Linked DNA regions of Sus scrofa. The protein of the gene in region 1 interacts with the protein of each later gene in a pairwise test. Links are inferred from orthologs where the notes say so. Each region holds a gene or a part of one and is shown on either strand. Other genes may lie near its edges.

Region 1 (4,261 bases):
GGTGGGTTAAGGACCCGATGTTGCCGTGAGCTGTGGTGTAGGTTGCAGACGTGGCTCGGATCCCGCGTTGCTGTGGCTCTGGCGTAGGCCAGTGGCTACAGCTCCAATTCAACCCCTAGCCTGGGAACCTCCATATGCCGCGGGGAACGGCCCAAAGAAATAGCAAAAAGACAAAAAAAAAAAAAGAGAGATGCTGTGTGGAGTCTCAGCATGGTTGCCTCAGGCTGGGGGGAGTAGAGAGCATGGAAAGTCTGGAGATAAACTTAGGGGAGGATGTGACAATGGAGCCGGCCCCTCAGGGTGAGGTGCAGACAAGGAACTTACCTGGGCGTCCTGGAGCCACAGCAACTGAAGGCCAGCAGGGTTCAGCTTCTTACTGCTGCCCCCTGTCTTGACCACCTGCTGCCCCACAAAGGGGGAGACCAGATGGTGAAACCTCCTCACAGATGGCCCCTCCGGCATCCCTGCGGGCAGAGGTGGGAGAGGAAGCCACTGACTGAGCCACCGACTGAGCCGTGTTATCTCTAGCATTTCTAACATGGGCCAAGCACTGAACTTTCAAGCTGCTATTTTTTTGCCACCAACTTTAAGAGCAAATACGGCCCCAAAGGGAATGTGGTTAGAGATGGAGGTGTCAGATGAAAGCACCAACAGTGTGCCAGGAATCACACCGCACACGTCCTCAGCTTCCATCCTATGGCAGCCTGAATGGGAGCTGGCCCTTTGGACTTTAGGCCTGGGCTATGGTCCTAACTCATCTCCAGGTTTTTTCTTTCTTTTATTTCTTTCTTTTTTTTTTTTTTTTTTTTGTCTTTTTGCCATTTCCTGGGCCGCTCCAGTGGCATATGGAGGTTCCCAGGCTAGGGGTCGAATCAGAGCTGTAGACACCGGCCTATGCCAGAGCCACAGCAACGTGGGATCTGAGCCGCATCTGCAACCTACACCACAGCTCACGGCAACATCGGGTCCTTAACCCACTGAGAAAGGCCAGGGACCTGGTTCCTAGTTGGATTCCTTAACCACTGCGCCACGATGGGAACTCCATCTCCAGGTTTTTTCTATCCTCTTCCTTCTGCCTCCCCCAAACAATCATTCCAGCCCACAGATGCTGCTTTATCTCCTGCTTTCAGGAGAGAAGGATTTAAAGGCACACTGACAAAGATGTGGATCCAGCCCCACCAGGACCACCCCACTAGAGGGACTGCAGTGTCTGTGATGACAATGCAGAGCTCAGAATCACAGCAAGTGCAGTCCAAGATCATGTCTGGTCAGAACAGGGAGAGGCCACATCCAGCTTAACTATAGCAAACTATCCCTGGGAGTTCCCGTTGTGGATCAGCAGGTTAAGGACCAGAGGTTGTCTCTGTGAGGATGTAGGTTTGATCCCTGGTTTCACTCAGTGGGTTAAGGATCTGGCACTGCCCCAAGCTGCAGCATAGGCCACAGATCCGGTGAAGGCTCCAGCTGTAAAGCTCCCAGCTACAGCTCCCAATCCACCCTTGGCCTGGGAACTTCCATGTGCTGCAGGTGCAGCTGTAAAAAGAAAAAAATAGAGAAAGAAATAACTGAGAAACAGCTGGGCTTCCATTTTAATCTGATGTAAGGGTATCTGTGACTCTCATCTCTCCCCGCCCCAAATCATCCAAGTTCACTGGGAGCTCATATATGAGGCAGTCTGAGTGGTCTGCCCCTAGCTTCTAGGACAGGGAAGGCATCCCCCCACCCTTACCTATTTATCCACCTGCAAAAGACTGCAAGTTATCATGGAAACCCAAAGAACTAATCAGTTTCCTGGCATGGTGGTAGCTACCTGCATTTCATCAATTCTTGAAAGCATTTAAAAAATCTCTCAAAGGGGGGGTGCCTCTTACAATCCATGGTTTCTCATAGTTTGATTAGCAGCACATCCTATAATACATATTTTTAATTTGATGGTGCCCTAGCCTCGCTAAATGTGCTATTTCACATCTTCAAGACCCTGGAGAGACCCTACTAACCAAACTTCAGGGCTATAGGGAGATTGGCCACACTGCGGCTAAGCTGAACCTCAACCAGCAATGTGCGCTGGTCCTCTCCAACCGAGGAAGCTTCTGGAATAGTTCTGATCCTTAAAAACCTTTTGACACAAGGGCATGTTTCTTTTAGGTTTATTCATGGAGATGGAAAACTGGGCAGGGAACTGCCTCTACCGAATCCTTAAAATATCCGAACCGTAAGGGGCACAGATTCGATAAGGTCACCCCGCTACCTTCGAGCCCCTCCCCCCAGCGGTTAACCGCAAGAGGCTAATTAAGGGGCTGCCTAGCGACCGCGCTAAAAGGAGAGGAGCGGGCGTCCCCTTTTCTCAGGACATCATTCACTGTCTGGGGAGGGTCTAAAAGCATCTTCCCAGGGTGCGGGGCGGGCTGGTTGCAGAACCCGGATTGCTCAGGGGCAGAAATGCTAAAAAGTAGTTAACAGCCAAAAAGAAAGATAAATTCAGGTTTCCATAAAAGACGCTTCTAAAAGGTTCGGTAACTGAGTTTTCACGCCGGTAATAAAGTGACGAGGGTAAAGCTTGGGAAAGCCCTGCATTTCCGGCGGGGGACCCGTCACCGCCGAGGACGCGCCGCACCGCTCCCTACCCACCAGCGTAGGTAGCGCGACGCCGCGTGGGAGCTCGCAGCAGGACTCACCGGCTCCTGGGCCGTGGACCCTTGGACCCCAGCAACCGTGAGGCCTGCAGAGGACCCGGCGCCCAGCTTGAGCGCAGGCTCCGCCCCCGGGAGTGGGCACGGGGCTTTATTGGAAGGGAGCGGGGCTCCATCCGGAGGTGGGGCGTGCGTAACTCGAGGTTCCTCCCTCGGGGTGGGGCATATAGGGGCTCCGCCCCCAGGCGAGGAGGGGGCTCTGTCCTGGTGGGGACAGGGAGTGGTGGTGAGGGCGGGGCGAGGTGGGCCGTTCCTGCCCTAAGGGGGTCGCTGGATGCTGGGCAGTTGCCGAGGTTGGGGAGTGTGTCTGAGCAGACGTAGGGAAGAAACAAACCGCCCTTGGAAAGGTCATTGTCTTATACGAAGATAGACTGCTATAGAGAAAATTAAGTTAAACAAGACCACTTTGGGTGGTCAGGCAAAGGGAAGCCTTTTGGTTGGTTTTGCCGGGCCTCCAATCCTAGCGAGGTAATTGTGAAAAGGAAACAAGTTGTCAAGAAATTTTCGTAAAGTTTTTCAAGGGTGGGTTTTTTTTTTTTAATTTTATATTATTTGAATATTATTATTTAAATTTTTACCGTAAACAAATTTTGTTTTAAAAGCAATATTTGGGGAATTGCCTGGTGGCTCAGCGGTGTAAGGACCTGGCATTGTCGCTGCTGAGGCAGTTGGGGCCCTGGTTCTATTCCTAACCGGGAACTTCTGCATGTCCTGGGTGCTGCCAAAAAAAAAAAAAAAAATCGATATTAAACTTCATCGTGTTATTATGGAAATATTACAAAGCAGGGATTCTCAAACTTTAATGTGCATATGAATCACCTGGGAGTCTTTTTTGTTTGTTTTTTTGTTTTGTTTTTCTTTTTAGGGCTGCACCTACCGCATATGAAAGTTCCCTGGCCAGGGGTCAAGTTGGAGCTACAGCTGCTGGTCTCTGCCACAACCATATCTGCAACCTATACTGCAGCTTGTGGCAACGCCGGATCCTTAACCCACTGTTTGAGGCCAGGGATCGAACCTGAATCTTCATGGATACTGTGTCAGGTTCTTAACCTGCTGAGCCACAATGAGAACTCCTTAATCGTGTTTAAATGCAGATTCTGACTCTGGTGTGTAGAGGGCCCAAGATTTTCCTTTTCAACAAGCTCCCAGGAGATGCTGTGGCTGCTGGTGGTCCAGGGACACAGGTGGGACAGCAAGGACTTGGGGCACTGTACTTGGCAGTTGGTGAGCACTTAATAATTACTCTTTGAATGAGTGGTTAAATTAGATATTAGATAATGAAACCCATAAACTATAAAGTGCTATGCAAATGCATGTAGTCACCACTCTATGACAATAAAGTTGCTGAATCTGCGTGGAAAATGGCAAACTCCCAGAAGAGCAACTCGACAGAAGAGCAGCAAAGAGCATTGTTCCTGCATTGGACTATCGGGGTCCAAATCCTCCCACTCAGGAGGCAGACCTTGGGCAAGTAACTTTTCTGTACCTCAGTTTCTTCATCTATAAAATGGAATGAAAGGACCACATGACTAGGCTGTGGTGGGATTTACTGAGATGCTTCACATGAATCT
Region 2 (4,301 bases), on another chromosome or scaffold:
TTCTGAGGGGACTTGGAGGGAGAACCCAGGGCCCCTCCTGGCTGGGAACCTCCCCCGACCAAAGACAGACCCTCTGAGGAAGGTGTCTTTGTGCCCTGGGGTGGCCAGCTGCTTAGCACATGAGCAGCGCCATCCATGGGCCACTCGCCGAAAGGAGAGACGGTACATTTGGGTCTCGCCAAAACACGGAATGATCTTGCCTACATCCAGCCCTTGGCTTTGCCCGAGTCTTCCCAGTGCCCTTGGCTCCCAGGTCCCTGGATGCAGCCAAGGTGGATGTGGGCAGAGATGGAGGAGCTACGGTGGCAGGCGCCACAGAGGGGAGGGCTCTTCAACGAGGTGCAGAGCCAAGTGGCTGAGAGCTTCTTGGAGAGGAGAAGCAGAAATGCCCCGTTCTCGGCACATCTCCAGCCAAGCCTAGGAATAGGTCAGGATTTAGCCGACTGGGGACTTAAAGGGCCCGTCTACTGAGCAGCCTGGAGGGCTGTGGTTTTTATCATTCATTGCAAGCACACCGAGAGGCTTCTTCAAGCCTGGAGACCCAATATTTCAAAATGAAGAATTGTGCTTGAAATCTACCGAAGGGGGTGGGTTTGGGGTCTGAAGTCTGGGGTTTGAGTTTTCTTCTTGGGTGACTAACTGTCCCTGGGGTGCTGAACTTTCAATGCTAAAACTGGAAAAGTCCTGGCTTCCTTGAGATGAATGGGTCGTTCTGTTTTGACTCCTTGCTAGCAGTGCTCCCCTCAAACTTTTAAGTTTCTCCTTTTCCACGCCTAAAGAATCAAGTCACTGATAAGACCTGCTGTATCAAACTCGAAAACCTGTGGGACTCAAAAGAGCTATGGTATGTTTCCTGCAGCACCTCGAACCCCCTGAATCAGAGCACATCCACTGCCAGACAGGCACCTGCTGACCTCCCCTCCCTCTCCGTTTGCGCTCTTTGGAGGTGGGAGTGAGACCGCCTTTTCATCTCTGCAACCCCAGGGCCTCTTGGCAAAGAGAAGATGCTCGGGAAGTCTGTGCTACGTTGAAAGCGCTTTGTAAAGCAAAGCGGAGCATGTTTTCTTTGGTTGGCTGCTCCTCTCATTTTCAGCCTGCCCCTGGTGAGCCCCAAGAAGGGTCCTCTGTAGGTTCAGACAGTCAGATGTACCCCGAAGCAGTTGTCAGGAAGACACAATGGGGCAGAAGGGGCAGGAGGCCAGGGCACTGTCTTGTGCTGTGTGAGATGGGGGAGGGATCCAGGCCAAAGGTGAACAGGAGGTGAGAGAAGCCCGTGGTGGGGGGCTAGGGGGGGTCCCACTGGGAGATGAGGAAAAAACAGGTCCCCACCACGGGGAGGAGATGGACTTTAGCTGGGATCTTAGCAAGCAGCCCAGCTCCAGCCTCTGGCCTCGGGGGCTCCAGCACCAAGCTGGGCGTTACCTTCACGCCAAGATCCAGTGCTTGCCCTCTGCTGCCTGCCTCCCTGATTCTCTCTGGAGGGCTCCTCAGAGGGGCAGCCTGCCCTGGGGGTCACCCAGACCTTAGCAGGCTGAGCTGACCCTTTGGCCTGGGCCTGGCCTGCTGGGTAGGGTGGTACCTCCTGGGTGGTCGGCCCCAAAGCTCAGTGCTTGCCTCTTGCATCCCCGCCCTGTGCCTGCTCCTCTGCCTCCTGGACACACAGAGTTCTGGTTCTGCTTGGCTGCCCAGGGTCCCAGCCTTGATCTTAACCTTCCAAGTCTCGGTTTTAGCTGATGCCCCTGGGAGCAAGTCCTGGGGCTCTGGGACTGTTTGGAGCTGGCTGGGGTGTGGTGGGGAGAAGCATGACCCAGAGGCAGCCCAGATGCAGGAAAGCCCCTCTGCGGCCCTTGCCAGCCTCTACCCAGAGGCTCCCTCCCACATGCCCTCCAACTCGATGTGGATCCTGTTTCATTCTCTCGCTGGCACATTTTTCTGGGGCCCAGGAAGGCTGGGGACATAGTCATAGCCCCCATCACCAGAGACTCCTGAAACTCCGAGGTAACTGGTCTAGTCCCCGCCTCTGATTAGGTTAGATCCCAATTTACGGTCAGGGCACCTAGGCTCAGAGAGGGCAAGCAACCGCCCCGAGATCACACAGTAAAGGAAACGTCAGCTGTTCCCCAGCCACCTACCTGAACTCTCCTTTTTCCGTCTGGTTGACTTCTTCTCCGTCTCATTGGCACTGCTCCCAAGGACCTCGTAGTCCTCGCCCGGGCCACCCGTGGTGTCCACCAGGCCTGGGCTGCGGGCCCCCATCTCCTTGGAGCCCCCCGCCGGGCCTGGGTTGAGCCTCCGCCGGGCCTCCGAGACAGGGAAGGGCCAGTCAGGGGGTTGTGGGAAGGCGGGGTGCTGCTCAGTGAAGAGGCGCTCCTCCTGGGGCAGGCTGTGCGGGGTGGCCGCCAGGCAGGAGGCCGAGAAGTCAGGGTACGCTGTCGTCGCTGTCGCTGTGAAGTCTGGTTTCTGGTGGAAGGAGAACGGGGTCGGCGGGTAGTGGGGGAGCCCTGAGGCCCCGCTGCCTTCTGAGTGGGGGTTTCGAAGGCAGCCCCAGACCGGGGCTGGGGGGTGGGGGCCCCTCATGCAGCTGCTGGCCACTGGATCCATCTGTCGTCTGCCCCACGTCTCAGTCCTTTCAAAGGCTGGATTGGTATACTTTATACTCAATTTGTTAAAAATGCAAAAAAAAAAAAAAATTTTTTTTTTTTTTTTTTTTTAAACAGAAGAGAAAAATGTTCAACAGAAAAATTCCACCCAGGACCCCAAACAAACACCAAAACTAAAGTCGCTCCTTACGGTCCGCACACAGGTGGCTGGCTCCACACACGTGTGTACACACCTCTATCAGACTTCACTCCTGGCTTCCTGGCCCCCCCGACGCACCAGCTTGCCTATTGGGGTCCCCTGTACGTGTATGTGTCGCTGATGACACTCAACATTTTCACTGTCCCAGCCCAGACGCACCAGCTAAAGAGCGCTTGTCCTGGAGCCTGCAGCAAACGCCTGCAGAGAGCTGGTCCAGGGCTGCTGAGACACACTTTTAAATCCTGCGGTGGGGAGAGAGTGACAAATTTCTGAAGTGAAATGTGAGAGAGGAGAGGGAGGGGTTAACCAGCACACACACCATCCCCTCCAACCAAAACCCGAGCAGGCAACTATTAATCATCAGAAACCTTATATGCACATCTAATGGGATTTGCAGATGGAGTCTTTTAAAGAAACATTGTCTGTATTTTTTTTTTTTTTTTTAAGGAGAGAGAGCAGCACACACACAATTTCTTTAATGTGCCTCCTATAACACTATGAAGTTATTTTATTGCACTGTTAACAAAATTCCCCAAGTCTCGGATTTGGAAAAAGCCTTAAGTCAGATCCAGCATCCATCAAGTGCCAAATTCCAGGGAGTGAAGCTGGGAATAAGTGCAAGAGACAAGTTTGCTGATTGCATTTGATTTAAAGGCCCTTCTACTGCTGCTTGGCAAAAGGAAGGTGGATTAAAAGAAAGCTTTTTTTGCAAGTCTCAGCGGCCCACTACCGTCTATAGTAGAAAGACACACTCTAGAAGAAAAAAAAAAAAAAGGGTTTCTCTCGGCCCAAAGTGACATTCTCACTTTCCCAGTAACTTAAAAAAACAATCAGATTCTTCCTTCCGCTCTTTAACCCCCAACTTACATGCCAATTCGCCACACTCATCTCTAGAGGGGTTTCAAGTCATTTTTCTCCATGGCAAGGGAAAGACTGTCAGATAAGTTCCTTGAAGTTCCTCCAGGCCTCCCCCACCTGCTCTCTGGCCTCCTAACCTTCACCCACCTGCTTCCCCTAACCCCCAGAGGCCAGGGTTTCCATGGAACCTGGGCATGGAAATAGCAATCAGGGCGATTCTCATTCCCAAAGGAGTTCTCTTCGGCACACAGTTGCATGGTCTTCCAGGCTGGTGCCCGTCCCTGGAGGCCCCAAGGCCATTTCAACCGTCCAATTAGTCCACTCAATCCCCAGGCCCTGCTGGTCTCTCTGGAGGGTTAATATAATTTCCTGGAGGGGGAGTTCCCATCGTGGCTCAGTGGTTAATGATTTCAACTATGAGCCATGAGGTTGAGGGTTCAATCCCTGGCCTCGCTCAGTGGGTCAAGGATCTGGCGTTGCCGTGAACTGCGGTGTAGGTTGAAGATGCAGCTTGGATCTAGCGTTGCTGTGGCTCTGGCGTAGGCCGGCAGCTACAGCTCCGATTCGACCCCTAGCCTGGGAACCCACATACGACATGGGCGTAGCCCTAGAAAAAGACAAAAAAAAAAAAAAATTCTTGGAGG

Evidence for each region.
Region 2: the proteins of NEIL2 (region 1) and MEOX1 interact in binary tests that used the Homo sapiens proteins (3 or more experiments, as listed by UniProt). The two-hybrid records come from large-scale screens. The link is inferred for Sus scrofa from reciprocal best matches to the Homo sapiens genes NEIL2 and MEOX1.

The regions. Positions count from the first base shown.
Region 1 is NC_010456.5:14,943,699-14,947,959, reverse strand, and holds the start of NEIL2 (endonuclease 8-like 2), read right to left. Parts: upstream 2,832-4,261; 5' UTR 2,676-2,831; intron 465-2,675; 5' UTR 463-464; coding exon 325-462; intron 1-324. UniProt on the Homo sapiens protein: Involved in base excision repair of DNA damaged by oxidation or by mutagenic agents. Has DNA glycosylase activity towards 5-hydroxyuracil and other oxidized derivatives of cytosine with a preference for mismatched double-stranded DNA (DNA bubbles).
Region 2 is NC_010454.4:19,430,167-19,434,467, reverse strand, and holds the start of MEOX1 (homeobox protein MOX-1), read right to left. Parts: upstream 3,066-4,301; 5' UTR 2,602-3,065; coding exon 2,133-2,601; intron 1-2,132. UniProt on the Homo sapiens protein: Mesodermal transcription factor that plays a key role in somitogenesis and is specifically required for sclerotome development. Required for maintenance of the sclerotome polarity and formation of the cranio-cervical joints.